4 linked regions of the Kluyveromyces lactis genome follow. The protein of the gene in region 2 interacts with the protein of the main gene of each other region in a pairwise test. Links are inferred from orthologs where the notes say so. Each region holds a gene or a part of one and is shown on either strand. Other genes may lie near its edges. The genes, in order: MSI1, RLF2, SAS2 and CAC2.

Region 1 (5,454 bases), on a different chromosome or scaffold from region 2:
GTGAAACTGGAACGGCAAATTAAAAGTAGATAAGGATCTAAATGAAAGGGCAGTCAATCAGCTAGTCGAAATAAAACTCAAAATGAACTACAATTCAAGAATAACACAAACGTATGTCTATAACTTCTAACTAATTAAAGGTCAGTTAATTGGATTTCGATGTGTGAAAAGTGTAGGTATTTCCAAATCCTAAAAGTTTCGCCAAAAGTTGAAAGAGAAAATTTTGTTTTCCCTCGAATTGGCCTGGCTGCTGGAAAATAAAAAATGGGCTATACGTAGTGGAAAGTATTGGCATAAAGTAGTATACAACTATAAAACATACAACAGTTGCTGATGGCGTATCTTGTGCAACTAGTATAGAGTTGAAACATGGTAGATTGGCATATCCTTTGTATACCTGTTTGCATAGAAGAGTTGTAGAGAGTTGTAGAGAGTTGTAAAGAGTGGCATCTCGTACCCGGTGATTTGGTCCATGTTCAGTGCTATGATTGGTTATAGGTCACGTGAAAGGAATTCAAGGAAGAGTAACGTGTTTCTTGTGTCGTGCGACACATTTATTATATGCGAATAAACAATACCGATACATGTATATATCGACGACATGTTCCAGTTTAATCTACAATTGTTCTACTAAGTTTGCTGCTGGCTTCCAGATATGAATTGAATTGTCGTTCGATACACTGCACATGGTCCATGGATCATGTTGTGACCATGAAATGTCGTTGACTCCGAGCATGTGACCACCATGGACAAATAATAGCATGTTGTTTTCAGCGTTAGAGTCCTCTTGTTCACCTGATGCATCCCATATCTTCACTAATCCACTCTGTTGATCTGCAGTGGCCAGTATTTGCGGTATCTGAGGGTTCCATTGAATGGCAGAGATGGGATCCTGATCTCCATGTTCCCATTCCTTTATTGGCTCCTTGAAATCTCTTATGTCCCAGATCTTTAACTGGCCCTGAGAATCACCGGTACACAATATCATATCGTTCTTATAGTTAAACTCGATGGCATTGATTCCATCTGTATGTGTAGTACGGTGTAATGTGTCCATTTTCGTATCTTGTCTTATGTCTATCAGTCCAATGACGTTGGATTCTCCGCATGATGCTAAAATGGAAGTGTGGTTTACCATCCATGACACATCATTGACTCCATTCGCGTCCATCACACTCTCTCTTTCAGGTATTTCCATTCTCTGTTTCGACTTATCAAATTTAGTAAGATCCCATACTTTTACTTTCCCGTTACTTTGACATGTAGCTAAGGTACCCTCCAATTGGTAATTCCATGCAAGGGATAAACTCTCGTCCTGTTCATCGTCACCGTTATTTCTGCATTCGATTTCGAATTTCCTGCCTGTGGAAATCTTATTACCATGTTTCGTTCTATCAAATATGTACACTGATCCATTTGATGATGCAGTCCCAATTATATCGGGGTTCTGAGGCATGTACCGACATCTGTTGCAATCACCGTCAGGGTACGTTATTCGTACCTCTTCTTCTAATGTCTTGTCGTTCAGTTTCAATGAATTATCCAGTTTAAATTCCATTTCATCCATGTCGAAGTTATTGATGGAACTCCATTTCATATGATTCATGGTAGATATGGACCCGATGTAAATTGACTCATCCTGCGGAAGTTGCTGCGATGTGAATGAAGATAATAATATCCTTTGTTTGTCATTCGTAAGAGTACGGTCTGGGAAGAATTGGCAGGATAGAGATGGCCATTTCGATGTGTTTGTATTCAAATAGTCGTAGAGCAACTTTGTATTCTTCTTCCAATTGGTATACCTTTGCTGTACTTCATTAGAAATTCCAGAGCCCAGTTCTGGAGGTTCTTCTATAATCAACTCACTCATTGTTGCGTCCTCTATATGCTATGAGCTAGCTTGGTATTGTTATATCTTGTCACAATCTCGATGTCTGTACTCTCGCACTACATCACGCGTTGTTGAATCTTTTGGACGTGTATCATTTTTCATTTTCCTTAATGTAAATATGAAAAAAGAGATTGATTAAGTGAAAACAATTACTTCCAATGTAGTTGATATTCGTGACATTGTCGTATATAAGTCATTCATTGCACATAGCGTTTTGATAAAGAAGTTTATTTAGTTTGGTTGTACGTAAAGATGTGGAATTCTAAGTTCACTGCATATCTTAGGTGAAAAGGAAATTGCATCGCATTCTCACATTAGATCCATTCTTTAAATTGGTTGATCAAACCGTTGGTGGAACTGTCGTGAGAAGAAATCTTGTTATCAGTGGCCAATTCACTACCAATAACCTTAGCCAAAACCTTACCTAATTCAACACCCCATTGGTCAAATGAGTTGATGTTCCAGATAGCACCTTCGGTGAATGTAACGTGTTCGTAGTAAGCAATCAAAGCACCAAGGGTAGCTGGAGTAATCTTTTGAGCCAAGATGGAAGTGGTTGGTCTGTTACCAGAGAAGACCTTGTGAGGTACTAGACCACCAGTGGCACCTTCTGATTTGACCTGTTCTTCATCTTTACCGACCATCAATGCCTCAGCTTGAGCGAAGAAGTTAGATGCTAGCATTTTTTGATGTAGGTTGTTTTCAATTGGGTTATGAGATTGGGCTGCCAAGATGAAATCAGATGGAATCAATTTGGTACCTTGGTGAATCAATTGGAAGAAAGAATGTTGAGCATTGGTAGCTGGTTCACCGAACAAGATAGAACCAGTAGAGTAGTTTGCAAAAACATTACCTCTGGTGACGGACTTACCGTTGGATTCCATAGACAATTGTTGCAAATAAGCTGGGAATCTGTGCAAGTATTGATCGAATGGCGCAACCAAATGTGTTTGAGCATCGAAGAAGTTGTTGTACCAAACAGATAATAGACCACCCAACAATGGAATGTTGTCTTCCAATGGAGTTTCAACGAAATGCTTGTCTACTGCCTCAGCACCCTTCAAGAATGCTTCAAAGTTGTCGAAACCGATGTATAGAGCAACTGACAAACCAATAGCGGACCAAACAGAGTAACGACCACCGACCCAGTTTTCAAAACCGAACATGTTCTTTGTGTCGATACCGAACTTTTCAACTTCAGTAGCGTTAGTGGACAAAGCAGCAAAATGCTTGGAGATATGGGATTGGTCACCACCGTTCTTAGATAAGAACCAGTTCTTAGCACTAGTTGCGTTAGTGATAGTCTCAGCAGTGGTGAAAGTCTTGGATGCGATCAAGAACAAAGTGGTTTCATGGTCCAAATCCTTCAAAGTTTCAGCAATATGAGTACCGTCAATGTTAGAAACAAAGTGTACCTTCAAGTTGGTAGCATAATGTTTCAATGCTTCAGTCACCATAACTGGACCCAAATCTGAACCACCGATACCAATGTTGACAACATCGGTAATAGACTTACCGGTGTAACCCTTCCAAGCACCAGATCTGACTTCTTCGGTGAACTCCTTCATGTGTTGCAACACAGCGTCAACCTCTGGAGTGACGTTGGTACCATCAACGTACATTGGCTTCAAACTTCTGTTTCTCAAGGCAACGTGGTACACAGCACGTCCTTCAGTGAAGTTGATTGGTTCACCGTTGAACATGGCATCTCTCAATGAGGTGACCTTAGCTTCCTTAGCCAATTGGATCAAAGACTTCAAGATTTCATCGTCAACTAAGTTCTTGGAAAAATCAAACAAGATCTTTGAACCATCGTAATTGACAAACGTCTTGGCAAACTTTTCATAACGAGAATTGTCCTTAGCAAACTCGTCCTTAACATTTAGCTTTTTACCCTTTTGTTCGTACAAAGATTGCAATTGGTTCCAGGCTGGCAATTCAGTTGCCAACTTGAAGTCAGAGTAAGTGTTCTTAGAAGCCATTTCTGATATTTGTCTTTTTATTTCTGTTTTAGAATCTATCTTAACAGAACTTTAAAACCTTTTATTGTACTTTACGGTCAGTTAAAAGGTCACTTCAGAATTCAGCGATTAAACCCTAATCACAAATTCCTTTCTACGTGACTCAAGAATACAATCGAAATACCAATTGGAAGAAGCAATTGATCAAGAACCTTCACCAGAGAATATATATATATAAAGAATCCACGATTTAAGTTAACCATTTCCCTCAAATTCGCAGGTGATGGAAAATACCAAATCCTTTTTTTTCTCAACGTTCCTATTATTTTCCATACTACGTTCAATCATCAATTCGTATATCCCATCGTTATTCGGAACAACTTGTAATTTCTGTCAGCTTCCGCTTTTTTTATTTGTTTCGCACCATCCAGTAAACAAATAGTGAAAGGCACGTAGAAGAAACCGGTGGTCCTTGGAAACCTTAGCTTCCACTAATACTCAACAAAAAGTCAGGGTAATTGTGGCACGTGATTCATCACGTGATTTGAAGTATTTATTCAGTTATATCTCTCAATGGTATCTACGATATCATTGATGTGTTTCTGTTGTTCTTCAAGATTTCCTGGGGTCTCTGTTGATTGTCTCTTCATGTGCTGCATCAAGTTCGCATGCATCTGGCGTAAGCGGGTAATATCCTCTTCGAAATTATCCGGGAAAGTAAGGCCAGTATTGCCCTCTCTGGCCATTCTTTTCACATCATCTAGTGTATCTATATCTGTCCATATCCTATCCTTGTCATCCACTTTTGGTGTAGCATGTACGTCGTCTGGAACGGTATCCTTGGGTAAAGTTCTCGGTATGGCTTTAGAATCCGTAGGTCTTCGTTCATTGTTTGAAGATTGCCTGGTTACCTGATCAAACGAATTTGATGTCTCCCTGCTAGATTGATCCATTGGGTATATGTAGCAATGAGTTGAGCAGTAAGTTAGGCTATATCCTTTGTATCTTACTTGTGCGGGTGCTCCCGCTGGCTGTGCTGTGATATTAAGTTGTAATGGATTAGCTTTTTTACGTATCAATCTCTAATTTTAATGATTCGAAAAAGCTAGCGACGACTGTTGAACTGAAGTAACTTCCTGCACTCGCAGAGATTTATCGCGAGTATAGCGGCAAATCTCCAGGTTTCTTTTGTCCAGACTGTAGTGACTATATTGTGCTAGTCGTTTCCCGAATAACAAATTGTCTTCTCTTATAGTTGTTAATGGCTGCGGGGAAACAATGGAAACGGTTATTGTGGTTGAAACAGCCGTTCCCAGATACCTACACTGATCCAAGTTTCTACAAACAATGGGAGAAGTTGAAAATTGAACATGGGCATTTGAGGCCTCACTCCTCGTACAGGTCTGTTTTACTTGATCTCTTCCAGTTTTACCACATGATTATTAATACTATGTTACTCTATATTATATTTGCCTGGTTCTATCATTACAAATACAATCCGATTTTAATTGCTGCCTCAATTTCATCTGTTTCCTTAATAGTTGCCAACAAGAGGGTACCCTGGAAATCCACTATCATCATTATATTTGCAATGTTGACCTT
Region 2 (6,098 bases):
ACCTAAACTGACACCACCTGCAATTGATCTAAGATTAACGACAAGTTTAAAAGACCCTTTGTACTACCATCCGGAAAGCAACAAAATTCCCGGTATGTCTGGGGCTACAGTGACAAATTCAGATTACGTGTCCCATTTCTCATCATCATCATACGATGGGAATAGAAATGACGTTAGAGAGACCTCAACCGTTGCTAGTACTACAATATCAAGAAAGGAAAAAAACCATATGTTGTTCACTAGGAATATTTTACCCTTTATTCGGGATTCCATCAACATGTATAAAAACTCCCATGTTTTAAATGAAGAAGTGGTCCCGATAGAAAAAGAGCTCGATAAGTTTTATGATAACTCCTTGAAGAAGGACGAAAAATGTGAAGTATTTTCTAATGTACTCTTAGGGTTACTCAGGGTACAGAGATTAAATATAGCGGCGTTGAACAGAGAATTAGAGTTGAAAACAGTGGAGAGAAAAATGGATTACTTGGCAACATTGTTTTTGGATCCACAAGAGTATGAAATACCACGTCATAGCTCCATGAAACGAATCAGAGATCAGATGTTGGATGTGATTATTTCTCTATATGGAGAATTACCAAATCCTAACCAAAGGGCAGCAAGAGAAATGAAATATCAGCAGCCACAACAGGTTCCTTTGAAGATAAAATCAGATTCAAAACTGAACCGACAGTCTCATAATCCTGAAATACTACCTATTGGTTATTCAAACTCATCTTCAAAACCAGCAAGGTCGGCAAAGAAACGCATGAGAAATATCAAATTGACACCATTCAAGACAGCTTCACAGGAAGACATGGATGCCGATGATGATCTGGACGTAGACCTCTCAGATCCCTTACAACTACTTTTGGCTGAACGTATAACTGGAACTGATTTGGAAAACACAACGTCACTGACTAATTCGTTGTGACGCTAGCTTTTCCGCTATAATAAGCAACATCAATACCCTTATACAAAACAACTCATCTAGTTCCAAACCTTTATTATATAAATCTCTAAAAATCCTAAGCCTGGGATGTTAACCCGTATCATTAAAATACTGTATAAACTTATCTCTTAGTCGCATCATCTGTATTATGTCCTGTGACACAATTATCACAACAATGTTACCCTACTGACACGAAAGTGAAATATGTAAAGAATTCCATTTAGCGTTTTGACGCATCACTAGAGAAGTTATACAGATCACCATTCAATGACAAGACGCTGAGGCTCTACAAACCGCCTCAATAGGAGCCTGGCATAAGCTGCTGAACACATATACCTTTGATAATCTTGTCATCTTTGCAATACGTCGGTAGCCCAACCATGAGTGAAATGAAACCATCAGTATCGAACCAGAAGAGACGGGGCATTCTCTCATTCTTTCAGAACACTGGGAAAGTTGACAAGGCTACTACTGTCAATGCTATTAGCCAGGATTCTGCTATCGAAATTGATATAGAATCTGATACTTTAGAACCACTAAACTCTTCAGAACCGGAGGAAGGAGAAAAAGACGAGGAAATGGACTCTCAAAAAAGTGATACTGCTACATTAGATGCAGCAGATAGTCAACAAGAAACAGAGAAGACAGGCGGTGCAGAAGACAATGACTCTGCATCCACGATGGCAAACAAGAAAGCAGAGCGAGAACTTAGGAGACAAAAAGAGAAGCAAGCTAAGTCGAAAAGGAAAGAAGAAGAAAGATTGGAACGTGAAAGGAAGAAGCTTGAAGAGAAGCAGAAGCGTGACAGACAGAAACAAGAGCGCGAGCTTAAGAAACAACAAGAAAAGGAAGAGCGCGAGCGAAAGCGGCTTCAAGAAAAGGAAGACCGTGAGAAGAAAAGGCAGCAGGAGAAAGAAGAACGTGAAAAGAAGAGATTAGAAGAAAAGGAGATGAAAGAACAAGAGAGACTAAAGAAAGAGGAAGAACGCCTGAAGAAAGAGGAAGAAAAACGTAAAAAGGAGGAGACTAAAGAGAGATCTCAGTCCCGAATCGGGAACTTTTTCAAAAAAGCTACAGTATCTTCTTCTGAGCAATCAGTTACAAGTGATTTCAAGAAGCATTTCTTACCCTTTTATATCAAGTCAGACGTTATCATGGCCAATACTTGGAAAATGGACCCTCAGAAGCTTAAAGAAAATGTACCACGTATAGATAAACTGATGAAGACAGAAGACCGCATATCAAGCGTAGAGTGGATGAACTCTTTCAAATGCCACCACGGTTACGAAATAAAGCTCACGGCAGTAGAAGTTCTGCAAACCATGACTTCGAAGAAGAAGACGGACGAAGAATTATCAGCGTTACTTAACGAAGTACCACAAAAATTCATCAAGTTCTATGAAAATGTAAGGCCTCCGTATGTGGGGACGTATTCCAAGAAATTGACATTACCAAACAATAATCCTTTCAGTACTGAGGGAACAGGATTCGATTATGGATATGATTCTGATCTCGATTGGGTTAATGAAGAGGAAGAAGAAGGCGGTGTCGACGATTTAGAAAATGATGAAGATGAAGAGGATGAGGATCAAGAGGATGAAGAGGGAGGCGACAATGAAATGGATGGCTTCCTAGATAAAGATGAAAATGAAAATATGGCACGTAAGAAGTTTGTCGGTCCCTTGATACCGACAATAAAACTGCGAAAGGATACGGATAAACTCGATGACGAGTCTAAACAGTATTTTGCATTGGTCTCCGTAGAATGTATGTTCCAAGATCAATGTTTCCCCGTAGATCCATATAAGGCTCCCAACAAGAGACCTGCTGTGGAGGACGGTTCATTTGAAACAACTTCTTCGAAAAACCCAGCAACTAAGAAATCCAAAAGTCTAATCACAGAACCTAAACATCTTTTGCAGTTGCTGGAACAAGTGCATGACTGTACATTTTCGTTGAGCACCGTTGTTGAGATTATCCAAAAGCATCTACCACAGTATAAGAAGGATACGATAAAGAACTCTGTTAAAGAATATGCTGCAAAATCTACCAAGGGAGACCGTAGGTGGGAAGTAAAGGATATGAACAATTGGGAACATCTAAAGAGCTCTCCGACACCAAGATTATCCACTCCAGAGGTACCGACAGCCAATGACGAAGCGCTACTGACCGGTATTCCTTTAAGTTAGTCGTAAGTAAATAGTATAACATCAGCGTACAATTGTTATGGGGTGCTTTTATTCCAACACAACTATATCACACATCTACACAAACCTTCGATGTCTCAGTCTAAAAGAGACGTCTATTTTTTAATACTAGATATCTTATGTCTGCTGTTATACTGGTTTCTTATAATTACCAAGAAGTGTCAGATTTAAAAGATTTGTGTCGCAATCAAAACAGTCTTTTTATTCTTCCCATTAAGAACAACCAAAACAAAGAGCAACACTCTCAAAGCGTTATATCTGATATACCATGGATCCGGTCTATTTACAAGACTACCCAGATTATACTAGACCCAATAGAGGAAGAGATCCGAATTCCTACAATACCGTTCGAGATATTGATTCAATATGGAAGGAAACATATAATTTGACCGTGGGATTTTTATTTGAATTATATGCAACTGTCATCTGGAGAGTTGACAGCATCAGAACCAACTTTTTTCATGATTTCTTCCAGACGAAGTCCATATGGTATCCTTTCCTTGTATGTACCTATGACTCAAACCGCTGTTTCAATCATGATATTAGCTGGTCATGTTGACAATTAAAAAAGCATACTAACAAAGCCAATTAATAGGGAGTCTTTCAATTTTTAATATGTTATAGATACTGGTATTACGGGCTTGTTACAAGTGTCTGTTACCTGATCTTATTTTTCGCTTTGTTGTGGTTGTATGCTGCGTTTCTTCTACCGATTTTGGCCGGTTGGCAGATTTTATTGCTAGGTCCAGTAGGTCTTGCAATTGCCGTGTTACAGATGCTATTGCAATGTAATGCATGGACGTTGAGAGGTGTTCGGAATTTTGTGTTACCCAAGTTCACCAATGATATATTCGAATTGACTCTATTAAGGAAAGGGCAGATAGAGACGCTAAATTCTTTAAAGAGACGACAGCTTCCTGCCTGTCCTGAATTGCATTTGAACAATATAGAATTTTGGATCCATGATGTGCCATTCAACACCTTTTCGTTTTTAAGGTGGTTATTTGTTTTCATATTCATAACTTTAATATCTTTACTTCCAATCGTTGGCCCATTGGCCGCTACTATATTGCAAACACCAGACAGAGCGTATGGGTACTACGATGTATGGATGATCAGAAGAAGATTAAGTGACAAAGCTAAACGTGACGAATATTACTCCAGATTAGGCCAACTATGGGCGTTTGGATTGACAGCGGGACTACTTGAATTGATACCTGGTTTTTCGGCTCTTCTGATGATAAGTAATGTCATTGCCGTTGGTGTTTGGGCTAATGATGACATAAAGCTTAAAAGGGTTCAGTTATAAAACCACCCCTCAATAGATCGAATAAGATAGCTTGAGAAGTTCTTTTACATACTATGTGTGTTTAAAATTGAAATCTTTATGTTTGAGTGTATATGATGGTTATGAATAATTATAGTTACTGTGATCTTGTGATGAGTATGTCCTTGGACGTATAAAGACGGCTGCCGACCGATAAGAATAGCGAATTAGGACCACGAATGCTAGGAAGATCATCATATAAAAACAGATGTCTGAATGACGGACAGGTTTGATTAATTGTGAGGTAAACTGGTGAAAATACTATCAATAGGTCAACAAAAATAAAAGACCTGAATACCGGACGAAGTTAATCATATTCTGAAGAAGCTATCGTCCTTACAGTCAGTAGGTGTTCTCTTAATGACTTCATCAATATTCCACCTTGGAGGTTTGCCATCTAATGACCCGCCTGCTTTTCCACTGGACACTTTTAAGAAGAGCTTATCTCCAACCTCATTGATATGCTGTAATAAATAATCGATATCTTCTTTTGTTAGAGCCGCAGATACACAGAAGCGGACTCTCGACTCGATCAATGGGGTGGCTGGGTATGCGACAACAACCACTGCAATTTTCCGTTGCAGCATCATTCGGGAGAATGCAGGCATTTTACTTGGTGCGTATAATAGCATAGGAATGACCGGAGAATCGGCAATACCGTAAACAATGAAGCCTAACCTTTGAAGCGCAAGTCGTAGATAACGAGCGTTGAATGCAATACGTTGTAATCTTTCTTGACCTTCGCCAGGGTTGATGTCTCCCGTAATGGTCTTTAAAGATGAAGCGATTTGGGCCAACACAGGAGCCGGAGTAGGCTCTCCATAGTGAGGTGTTGTTAAATCCAATCTAAATCTGTCGATGATCCATTTGTCAGCAGCAATGTATCCACCAGCGGCACCAAAAGATTTCGTAAGTGTGCCCATCATAATATCAATATCACTACAAGGTATCCCAAAGAAATCGCATACACCACGTCCAGATGGACCCATTGCACCGATAGAGTGAGCCTCATCAACGAAAAGGTAGCATTTATATTTTTTCTTCAATTCAACAAGCTTAGGCAAGTTAGCCATGGTACCCTCCATGGAGTATAAACCTTCCACACAAATGATAATTTTTTTCCAAGGACGATGAGTCTTCGATTGACCTTGAACAATTTGTTCACGGATCAACTTCTCTAATGCGCGCATATCATTATGCTTGAATGTCTTAACAGCTGCTCCTGATAAACGGACACCAGTTCTAATAGAGGTATGATTTAAAGAATCAGAGATAACCAAACATTTGCTATCTAAGAACGAATTGAAGAAATTAGCATTGGTACCGTACCCCATAGAGAACAAAATTGCATCTTCTTTACCTACGAATTGTGCGACGTATTTTTCGGTCATGACGTGCAAATCAGTAGTACCAATTCTGGTCCTTGGACCACCAGAATAAACACCGTATTTATCGGTGGCTTCTAGCGCTGCAGTGGTACATTGACCCTCTGATTGTGCAAAACCTAAGTAGTTGTACGAGGAAAGATTTAGACACATTGATGTAGTACCAGGATACGTGAAGTAGTCGTTCAAGTTGTGAGAGACACGGTCTAAGCAGCGGATGAATCTTCCAG
Region 3 (5,364 bases), on a different chromosome or scaffold from region 2:
TTAAGACGATAATCAATGGAGGTATTTTGGCGGATGAGATGGGTCTAGGGAAAACAATATCAGCTTTAGCATTGATTTGTACTGCTAGCTATGATGAGGCTCATGAAAAGAAAATTGAGTCAACCAAAAAGCCTTCTATGAAGGAGATGTCTTCTCAAGTGGATTCCTCTCCATTACGCCATTCTCAACATAAGCATGACACTTATGCTTACAGGACGACGTTGATAGTAGTGCCGATGTCCTTATTGAATCAGTGGCAATCAGAATTCGAAAAGGCCAACAAGGACCTCAAAAAACGTTGTGAAATTTATTACGGGAATAATATTAAAGATTTAAGGGCGTATGTGCTTGGCCCCAACGCTCCCTCAGTAATCATAACTACTTATGGGATAATTCAGAGCGAATATGGGAGAACCTCAACATCGGGATTATTCAATGTGGTCTTCTTTAGAATAATATTGGATGAAGGTCATACGATTAGAAATAGAAGTACAAGGACATCTAAAGCTGTCATAGCCTTGCGGAGTTCCAGAAAATGGATCTTGACAGGAACACCAATCATCAATCGACTTGACGATCTATTTTCCTTAGTTCAGTTCTTGAACTTAGAGCCCTGGTCTCACATCAACTATTGGAAGCGTTACGTTTCAGTTCCTTTCGAGAAAGGTAACTATGCGCAGGCATTTGATGTCATAAATGCAGTATTGGAGCCTGTGCTTCTCAGAAGAACGAAGAATATGAAGGATGTTGATGGCAAACCTTTAGTCTCTTTACCTCCAAAGGAAGTAATCGTCGAAAAGTTGCAACTTTCATCCAGTGAGAAAAGAGTTTATCAATCCATGTTAGAAGATGCGGAAAACTCTGTTAAAGAAGGGTTGGCCAAAGGTGATCTATTGAAGAACTACACTAATATCTTGGTCCATATTTTAAGACTTAGACAAGTCTGCTGTCATTTGGATTTACTCAAAAAGACACCAGATCTCGGAGACCCAGATCTTGAAGATCTGGAGAACTCAACTCAAAACATCTCCTCCATCCTCATGCCAAAAAATATTAAGTCACCAAAAAGTTCCATTTCTCAAGATAAATTGGATGCTTTAAGTGCGAACTTTCGTGATATTCACAGCGCTTCAGAGCAATTACCTTCTTTTGAATGTGCTATTTGCACCACTGAGTGTATTGAACCGCTGTCTGCGGTCTCTATAACAGAGTGTCTCCACACATTTTGTGAACCTTGTTTGGCAGAATACATTGAATTTCAGCAAAATAAAAAACTATCCATCAACTGTCCATATTGTAGAATGCCGATCTCAGAAGCTAATGTGTTAAAGCTAAAGGAGCCAATTGATGCTGAAAGAGGATATGAACTAATTTCGTTTCATTCACATTTCCAATCGACTAAAATTAAAGCTTTATTGAGGCATCTCAAGCAAATACAAGAAACTTCTCCTGGTGAACAAATAATCGTATTTTCTCAGTTCTCATCATTCCTAGACATTCTAGAAATAGAGCTACGTTCGCATTTGCCAAGAGATCAGGTAATTATTTACAAATTCGACGGACGGTTAGATATGAAGGAACGGACTAGAATCTTGGAACAGTTCCACGATAAGGATTTGAGTTGTATAAAGTTATTACTTTTGTCGTTGAAAACTGGAGGTGTGGGATTAAATTTGACTTGTGCATCAAGAGCGTTTATGATGGACCCATGGTGGTCTCCAGGTATGGAAGATCAAGCGATTGATAGAATACATCGTATTGGTCAGCAGCAAACTGTCAAAGTTGTCCGGTTCATTATCGATAATAGTGTAGAAGAGAAAATGTTAAGAATACAGGAAAGAAAGAGAATGTTAGGGGATATTGTTGAGGGTGATGAGGCAGAAAGGAGACAGAAGAGGATCGAGGAAATCCAAATGTTGTTTCAATAGACTATCATGACATTCAATCATATAGAAGCCTTTTAGGGCTTTGCATTTAAGCTGTTATTTAATTCGTTAATCATCAAGTAGTAGATATTCATCTTTGATCATAAATCCATGGGATACCTTGTTGCGTCTTGCCCATGAACGGATGATATTGAGTCTTATTTCAGAATCACTTAAACAATCAAGATATTTGAGAGCTTGAATTATATCATTGATTCTAAAACCAGTGGCCTCGGAAAGATCCTTCAAAGTGACCTGGGCCACATCTTTCAAATTACCTTCAGTCAACTGCCAAACTATTGAGAAAGACCAAAATTTAAGATAGCCAATTAAACCGAAAGGAGATAGAGGAACTTCAGGACCCGAAATCAGACCCTGACATCTTGATAAAGTGTAGGAAAACTCAATCAAGAGAGTACCCAATCTTCTTCTTTGATAGGGCGGAAAGACAAGAATACATGCAAGGTTATTTTGGTGGTAGGAATATAAGTCTTTTGAAAAAAATGCCATCGGTACTGTAGAATTGTTCTCATACACAATATAGAATTCGAAATGCTTAACTTTGAAGTAGACAGACTTGTTATCAAGAAATAGCTTAGTAAATAGACATAAGCATTGGCAGAAAACTTCATGCTTAGAACCTTTTACCCTTCGTATAGTGTATTCGGGGCTTCTGTATTTTATTCTACCGGGTGGCTTATTCTTATATCGGCAAAAGCACTCATGTGCGATTAACTCTGCTTCATCATCAGTGTACTTGAAACAATATTCACATACGTATAGGGTATCAATCCAATACTGATCTTCAAACTTCTTTTCAGTAGGGCTTTGTTTTGCGGTGTGCTCATTGTTCGATTCCTTGAAGCCCAAGGTCCTCTTATTTCTTCCAAAATAAACATTACTCCCGTACCAAGTTGCAAATCTTTTATTCAAGCCAAATTGGACGTGCCTAATATTAGGCTTGTCAAGAATACCATATATTTCTTCATCCTCTGTTGAGCTGTTGTGCTTATCAGGTTTGGGAACCATTCATTAATGATTTGAAAAGAGGCAAAAAATGCGATTTATCACGTTTCCCAAATTTAATGAGTACTTGAAAACCCAATTAACGGTGGAATCAACTGCTCTTTGAACTTAAATGTACAAAAGATTGCCTATATCTTTGAATTATCAAAACGTTGAAAGCGACTTTCTTTTTTTTTTTTTCATCTTCCTTTATGGCAGAAAAAGCTTTAAAGCTCATCGCATCTCATCGCATCCAAGCTCACCTGCATCTATATATCAAAATCTCGTTGATAACAGGCTGGTAGTCTGAATGTTATAGGCCTCTGTGACATTAACAGTCAAGAGAAGTACCTCGCACGTTAAACGGTCAAAAAATTGAACAACAAACATGGGTACCTATAGGAAGCGCTGGAATGAGAAAGCACGCGCGGGTCAGATGTCTAAGTTGAAGGAGTTGAAGAGAGTAAGGAATAGGCAGTTCACCCGTGCACTTGAAAATTCTTCCGATGCTGATTCTGAAGAAGGTAATTCATCTGAAGATGAACATCATGAATCACCCGATCATCAGGAAGATACGAACGCTGCTGTATTGAAACCCATGACGGAGGAAGAGAAACAAGAGAAAAAGCGTAAATTGGAAGAGCTATTCACACCTAAGGAAACGAAGGTCTCTAGGACGAAGAAAAAAAGGTTAGAGAAGTTCATCGAGCATCAATTGAAAAGAGAGGAGAAAAAAGTTTTGATAGAAAAACTTCAGGACTATAAAATTGATACTAAGCTTTTGACAAGTTCTAAGATTTTGGGACAAGGAAGGCAAACTAAGAGGCAAGGGATTGAAGAAGCCCTCAAATTAGAAAGAAATGGACGTGGTGATGAAACTACCAGGGAAATTCTTTACGATGAAACTGAGGTAAGGGATTGGTATCAAGATCATCCAGAAACTAGGCCCAGTCAGGAAAGCACAGCTGAAAATTGCAATTCGGATAGTGATGAAACGGACCATACCAGTTCAGATCACCCTATTTCGGCAAATACTGGGGGATTTATTGATAATAGACCCAGTAAATTTGGTGGGTCAGGTTTTGGTTTTGGATTCGGTAATGCAAAGGTGGTGAATAAAAGGGCCTCGAAGAAAAGGTATAACTGGAAGCAAAAGGTAGAGCAAGAAGAACGTAGAAGGCGTAAACTGGATGATGATCAGGATTTTGAATCTGACGAAAGTGAATCAGAAGAACATTCATCCACTGCAGAAAGTGAACCTGATGAGAGTGAATCTAATAGTAATGCTGATAGTCACAGCGATGATGAGTCGAGTGAGTCTGACGGCGAGGAAAGATCGGATTCAGAAATAGCGCAGTGCAGAAACGTAAGTTCTTCAGTTGCCCAAGAATTTAAAGAGTGGGCAAATCAGGAAATTAAAAAGCTTGAAGGTAGAGATGTAGAAATGGTTATGCCTTCCTCCAACATCAAGGTCGATAGGACCGAGAGACCTGAAGACTTTGAAGATGGACTCAAAGCAGATGAATTTAATGTGAACGAAAATTCAACACGTAAGGCTTTTTATGTCAAGGTACGGAGATCTGATGCTGTTCAAGCTGTGAGAAGCGCACTACCTGTTTTCGCCGAGGAACATAGAATTATGGAAGCTATCCATCATAATGACGTTGTAATCATTTGTGGTGAAACTGGTTCAGGTAAAACGACACAGGTACCGCAGTTTCTTTACGAGGCAGGATATGGTAATTCGTCCTCAACTGACACGCCTGGGATGATTGGAATAACACAACCTAGAAGAGTGGCCGCTGTCTCTATGGCTGGACGTGTTACTAATGAGATGGGTGATCATGGCGAATATGTAGGATACCAAATTCGGTTCGATTCTTCTACCAAGGATAAAACAAGAATGAAATTTATGACTGATGGTGTTTTGCTAAGAGAGATGATGAACGATTTTAGACTTTCTAAATACTCTTCTATCATTATCGATGAAGCTCACGAGAGGAACATCAATACAGATATTTTGATTGGTATGTTAAGTCGTTGTGTCAGCTTACGTGCTAAGGAGCATGCAACTGATCCGGCTAAGTACAAAAAACTTAAACTAATTATCATGTCTGCCACCTTGAGAGTATCAGATTTTAGTGAAAACCCTACTTTATTCCCTGTTTCTCCACCTGTCTTAAAGGTCGACGCCAGGCAGTATCCAGTGGCTGTACATTTCAATCGTAGAACAGCTTATAACTATGCTGAAGAGGCTTTCAGGAAGACGTGTAAAATACATCAAAGGTTGCCTCCTGGTGCTATCTTGGTTTTTATGACAGGACAGCAAGAGATCACGCACATGGTAAAAAGGTTAAGAAAAGAGTTTCCTTTCCCCAAGAAACATCAAACTCTCATTCAAAATGACCACATACCTACAGTGAAAATAGATGCC
Region 4 (5,786 bases), on a different chromosome or scaffold from region 2:
ACGTTCCGGCGTTACCACGCGGTGGGATTCACAAAATATGCATCTACGATTTCGATAATACGCTATTTAAATCACCAGCACCAAACCCACACTTGTATTCAGCAGAGTTATATTCGTCACTGTTGAGCCCGCATGTGTTCAGTAACGGTGGATGGTGGTCAGAGCCAAGGTTCTTGGAGATTTTGGTTGACGAATGGATAAAGGGTTCTGTCGATGACTCAGCATTTTGGAATAAAGACATCGTAGACTCCGCTAGAAGGTCCTGGGACGATAGGGATAACGGTACGTTGACGATACTAATGACAGGAAGAAAGCAGCTGTTGTTCAGCCCTCTTTTTGAAAAGTTACTAAAACATCCCGTGTTCGGCCGGGAATTATTGTTCCATTCTGCTTTCCTTAAGAGAGCTGGTTACCCAACCACGATGAAGTATAAGATCGCATGCCTGCGTTCTGTGATGGATTTCTACAAGGAAGTGAATGAGATTGTGATATATGATGATAGGAAACAGCAACTTGAAGGGTTCGAACTTTTCTTTGAGGACTACAAGAGGGAAACTTCTCGTAATTTCAATCATACATTAATTGCGGTAAAACCGGTGATAAATTATTTACCTCCAGGAAAGGAGATTGGTACCGTTGCAAAGATATTTAACGAACACAACAAGGATGTTCGTTCGAAGTTGGAAGGTCTTGAAATGGTTCATGGCCCAATTTGTTCATTAGGGTTCCAAATGGACAATCTTACCTTGGATGAAGATTCGAATACCGTTCGGTATTTGCTGGATTGCCGAGAAACACACAAGATCCGTCAACTGGTTACTCAAATGTCGCAAGACACCAATCAAGCGTATCCGTTCTCACTTCCGATCATAGTACCATTAGGTTCGTTACCTGGGTCCCAAGTGGAAATGTTCCAAAATCACAACTCCGTGACACCAGAAGCGTCTACAGAAGATTTTAGGAAACTGATTGGTGATGCTACATGCTTCTGTCCCAACAAAGTCATAGACTGGTCCATCCGTGAAGCAATCTCTTTGGAATCATCAAGATTGGCATTTTCCGTCGGCTCGACCCAACAACCGGGAACCCATATATTGTTCACTTCGGACTACTCAGATGAAGATATGCAAAGTGTGATGGACCACATCAACAACAGGGGGTCTCTTGCTGAAATAAACCACTCACTACCCAGTTTCTCAGCAATAGCTATTCCAAAATACCATTATCTGGCAAAGACAGCATGCGACGTTGAATAAGTACTAGAAACAAGACGTCAGACACTAGATCTGGTTAACGACAAGGACAAAAAGAACAAGAACATACATACAAACATAAACCCAAGGCTATAATAAATAATTTTAAACTAAATATAAAATTGTGGGGAACTTCATTTGTATTCCAATCCAAAGGGTATAGAACTGGTTCTCACGAACAGATCTATCATAAATTGAAATAATTGTAAACAAAGACTCCAAGAGGATGTTCCTTGTATTTCAAAGGACCCTCAGATGCACATTTCATTGGTGCACACCCGAAGTACCACACCTCTCCAGTTAGCAGTTCATTTAAGCACAATAACGGCTCCAGTAGTCTATTGAAAGAAAAGTTTACTGGGAATTTGACTGATGCGCTGAGTAAAATTCTCCTGAATCTCAACGCATTGGTATCTGCTGATACCACTACAAACTTCCCAAGTATAAAATGTTGCAATAGATGCAACAGTTGATCTGATCTGATCTGTGAGTACAGTTTCAGACAGCTCGAGCCTGAGTTATGACTAAAGTAATGGTGACAGATCTGAAAATTTTTTCAAACTGACTGAATTTATATTGAAAAAAACTGTTATTTCAGTCTACTATAGGGCTATTATATTGAAAAAAAGAGAAAAGACAGGCGGAAGGGGGTTGTATGTCGTGTTCACTACCTTTATTCAGTGTTGGAATATTTCTAATGGCATAAGGTTCCCATCATGCAATGTATATATTCATTTAAATATCCAATTTGCTGCTGTATCGCTGATATTCTTTCCTTAAGAAATCGAATTCCTCAGTAAAAGACGATACACGTAAACAATCTGGAAAAAAAAAGAATATCAGGCATTGAAGGGAAAGGTAACGTTGATCTAAAGAGTTATAACGAAATTTGTTAACGCACTAGTAGAGTAATTCTGAGCTCATAAGATAGGACTAGTTCAATTTATCTCAGTTCGAGTAGAGAAAGTGGAAAAAATGGTACAATCCGAGAGTTTACAGATATATTGGCATGACTCTCATCCGATATACTCGTTATGTTTTCAACCCTTATCAGAGACTAACCAGAACACTAGACGGTTGTTCACTTCGGGAGGTGACAATAAAATCAGGGTCTGGCAATTGAATGAGAGCGAAAATGATGGGAAGATAGAGACAATTGATTTTCTTTCGTCGTTGACGCAGCACGAACAAGCTGTCAACGTTTGTCGATTCAATAAGCAAGGTGACACGTTAGCCACGGCGGGAGACGATGGGTTATTGTTACTATGGAAGAAGAACGAGACTATGGTAAAGGAATTTGGTGTAGATGATGATGAATTCCAAGATTTTAAGGAATCGTGGGCTGTATGGAAGCGATTAAGGTCAGGGTCAGCCTCGAATGCCGAGATTTATGATATTTCATGGAACCCTCAGGGAACGTGCATAGCTATTGCATCTTTGGATAACACCGTACGAGTGTTCAATGTGGATCAGGGAAAAGTGGTAGGACATATAACGGAGCATAATCATTACGTGCAAGGGATTGTATGGGACCCTCAGGGAGAATTTATCGTATCGCAATCTGCAGACAGATCATTGGCGATTTGTAAGATGATTTATGAGGACAACGAAGTAAAGGGCTTACAATTAGTGAATAAAATATTAAAATCAGAACTACCAAGGAGGAAAAATCCTGGTGAAAAAGAACTCGATTTTGATAAGTCGAAGGTGACTTTCTTATTCCATAACGAAACCCTTCCGTCATTTTTCAGAAGGCTGTCCATGTCACCATGCGGCAGTCTCTTATGTGTACCAGCTGGGGTCTTCAGAAATGATGAACAAACGGATGCCTCAAATAATAACCCAGAGTACGCGAATGCCGTATATATTTACACAAGGGCTTCTCTAACTTCAAATTCAAACAAACCCGTGTTTTCACTACCCTTTCTACAAAAACCGGCATTAGTGGTCAAGTTTAATCCTATCATGTACGAAACCGCGTCTGAATGGGTGAAAGCACCTTATACACTGGTATTCGCTGTAGCAACTACGAATGAAGTGCTGGTGTACGACACACAAAATACCAGTCCTATAGCGATCGCAGGAAATTTGCATTATACCCCCATAACAGATCTTGCGTGGAGCCAAGACGGAACATTACTAATGATATCAAGCACAGACGGGTTCTGCTCATATATTCACTTCACAGACAATGATTTTGGCACACCTTTGAAAGATCAATCTATACCAATCTTGACGAAGGAACTCGAATCACAATCGCAATCACAATCACAACCAGAATCATCACAAAAGGCTAGTATCGTAAATCTTAGTACCGGTGCCGCCGAAACTCCAAACCCTTCACCAGCTAAAAGATCGATCTCGCAGCTTGTCTCAGAAGCTGCAACCACAGTTGGAAAGGAGAAGCTCAAACGCAGGGTTCAACCTACTCTCGTCACATCAGATCAACCTAAATAGAACTAGATTAGTTTATAGAGAGGGAGATGGCGGAATAACACGTGACTTTGAACTGTTCTCTACGCAATAATTACTGTGTATAGTAGTAAGTAATAATCGCCGAGTTAAGATTCGAGACACCAGCCGATTGCCTTATTGCCAAGCCCGTGACAAGAATCAGGGTGTTGGCAGTTCTAGGAGGTAGAAACAGAAAGGTCTGGGAAACAATATAGAAACAAAATAGGAAATGCAAAAAAATGGTTAGTCACGTGATCAACATTTCTCTCTGGAAAGACATCTAGCTGTAAAGGACACACTCTAGCATGTAATTGAGAATGGATTTCATTTACTGGTATATGTACGATTTATAGATATCTACACAATTGTACCTATCATTTCAGTAGAGACTGTAGGTATTCACTGTTTTCCACCTTTAGTTCCATACTCTTTCTTGCCTGCCATACCATTAATCTCTTTCTTTCTTCTATGGAAAGATCGTTGGGATTCAAGTTTGAAAGATCTTCTTGTGGATCCACGTTGAATTTTTTTAGCAGATTGTCAGCTTTAATGTTGGATCTTTTCCGTGGATCTGTAGATGTGCTATTGTTGTTTGTATTGTTTCCTGTAGTTACAGAGCTTCCGGTCGATTGATTTTGACCATTGGAAGAATTGCCACCTGTTTCAGATTCTGGGACGTAATCTGGTGGGAATGGCATATCTCTACCCGAGAGATATCTTTCTACAGTAGTTTCAACTGATCCGGTTTGTTCCAAGTCGTATCTGATCTGTTCTGGATGTAGATGTGGAGCCAAGGATTGTACCACTTCGATCATATCATCGTTGACTCTACGACGAATACGCCTTCTAGTCTGTCTTGAAGCGGCATTACTTGACGCGGCGGTACCTGAAGCCGTGGCAGAGTCTGATTGCGAAGAAAAACCATTGATTTGGATGGATGGATGTTGTTCGTTATTGCTCAAAAACCATTTCACAGCAATATAACCGGCAATAGCCAAAATGATAAATAATGTGAAACTTTGATCCGCCATGATTAAAGTTTTAATTCAGATACTCTATCTAACACAATAATTTCTGTCTGCTCTCAATATATTGCTGTGATATTAATTATTCTGGAGACAGGAAAACACAGTATGCCTGGTTATGGAGCAAATACTTGTCTTGTTACAGTTTTTACTTGTGAATGATAATTAATATCATTCATTTCTTATTAAAGAGAAAAATTGTGTAAACGACCTGTAAAGGAAAAAAATGTTAAAGAGCAGAAGGACGTGTGTACAGCTTGCTGTGCAATCTGTCCTTTTCACTGCAGTGCATATAATCAGCGTATAGAACGCTAGTTCCAAATAGATTTCCGTTGATATCCTTGATTATTACGTTCTATATTATTCATATATGTTACAAATAGATGAAGCCATTAGGCTGATGTCGAATTACATGCCCAAGATGGAAGTGAGCTATGCAACACCACCGCTTCATCCCTTAAACTCCATTCTGAACTTCTTTTTCTGATTTTGTACTTTGTAAATAAACTGAGGAAGGCATTCCGCTTCTCGAACGGTATAGTTATCGAAGTGTTCCCTGACACCTTTCGCAAGCTCCTGCTTCGTAACCCTTGCATCTGGTACATTTTTCTGGTTTCGTTTCGCCGAGTAAGTATGTTTCCCAATCCTTGATCCTAGAAGGTACCCTTGTATTGATAGATTATCTGGAGATTTCAATTGGAACCTATCCTTATACCGCCTTAAAAATTCATCGGAGTATTGTTCGAAATCCATCGGATTTGGGAGCGGCTCATTCTTCGGATGATTGTTATGTATATGTTTCTTGTTCAAGTCCTTCAAGTATTGCTGTTGAGCACTCGAGAGTCTTTGTTTCACACTGGTCCTGGTCGATGCACCTGAAGTTGCATTGTTCGATGATTTGCCCTTAGATTCGGACTCTGAATTTGAGTTATTGTGTCCCCTTGGTGCCATGTCGTGTAAGATCCTTGTGACTGTACAGCACCCACTCTATTTGACACCTGAGATGGTATGGAGCAGTACATGGTAATGCCCTTTACCACCTGGACAAATGTTC

What was found.
Region 1: the proteins of RLF2 (region 2) and MSI1 interact in binary tests that used the Saccharomyces cerevisiae proteins (3 or more experiments, as listed by UniProt). The link is inferred for Kluyveromyces lactis from reciprocal best matches to the Saccharomyces cerevisiae genes RLF2 and MSI1.
Region 3: the proteins of RLF2 (region 2) and SAS2 interact in binary tests that used the Saccharomyces cerevisiae proteins (3 or more experiments, as listed by UniProt). The link is inferred for Kluyveromyces lactis from reciprocal best matches to the Saccharomyces cerevisiae genes RLF2 and SAS2.
Region 4: the proteins of RLF2 (region 2) and CAC2 interact in a two-hybrid assay, tested with the Saccharomyces cerevisiae proteins (2 studies listed by BioGRID). The link is inferred for Kluyveromyces lactis from reciprocal best matches to the Saccharomyces cerevisiae genes RLF2 and CAC2.

What each region holds. Positions count from the first base shown.
Region 1 is NC_006041.1:2,091,662-2,097,115, reverse strand, and holds MSI1 (Msi1p), read right to left. Parts: upstream 1,871-5,454; coding exon 617-1,870; downstream 1-616. Other genes in the region: PGI1 (glucose-6-phosphate isomerase), read right to left, coding at 2,206-3,873; KLLA0_E23497g (DUF5315 domain-containing protein), read right to left, coding at 4,410-4,805; GPI2 (phosphatidylinositol N-acetylglucosaminyltransferase), read left to right, coding at 5,114-5,454. UniProt on the Saccharomyces cerevisiae protein: Acts as a component of the histone chaperone complex chromatin assembly factor 1 (CAF-1), which assembles histone octamers onto DNA during replication and repair.
Region 2 is NC_006040.1:177,551-183,648, forward strand, and holds RLF2 (Rlf2p), read left to right. Parts: upstream 1-1,329; coding exon 1,330-3,138; downstream 3,139-6,098. Other genes in the region: KLLA0_D02068g (uncharacterized protein), read left to right, coding at 1-931; RRT8 (Rrt8p), read left to right, coding at 3,932-4,465; serine C-palmitoyltransferase LCB2, read right to left, coding at 4,795-6,098.
Region 3 is NC_006042.1:1,597,851-1,603,214, reverse strand, and holds SAS2 (histone acetyltransferase), read right to left. Parts: upstream 2,955-5,364; coding exon 1,995-2,954; downstream 1-1,994. Other genes in the region: DNA helicase RAD5, read left to right, coding at 1-1,928; ATP-dependent RNA helicase ECM16, read left to right, coding at 3,319-5,364. UniProt on the Saccharomyces cerevisiae protein: Histone acetyltransferase (HAT) subunit of the SAS complex, a multiprotein complex that acetylates 'Lys-16' of histone H4 and 'Lys-14' of histone H3. The SAS complex is however unable to acetylate nucleosomal histones.
Region 4 is NC_006041.1:981,441-987,226, forward strand, and holds CAC2 (Cac2p), read left to right. Parts: upstream 1-2,228; coding exon 2,229-3,710; downstream 3,711-5,786. Other genes in the region: KLLA0_E11155g (HAD domain phosphoesterase family swiss army knife RNA repair protein), read left to right, coding at 1-1,256; CUE1 (Cue1p), read right to left, coding at 4,082-4,738; SAP30 (Sap30p), read right to left, coding at 5,183-5,683. UniProt on the Saccharomyces cerevisiae protein: Acts as a component of the histone chaperone complex chromatin assembly factor 1 (CAF-1), which assembles histone octamers onto replicating DNA.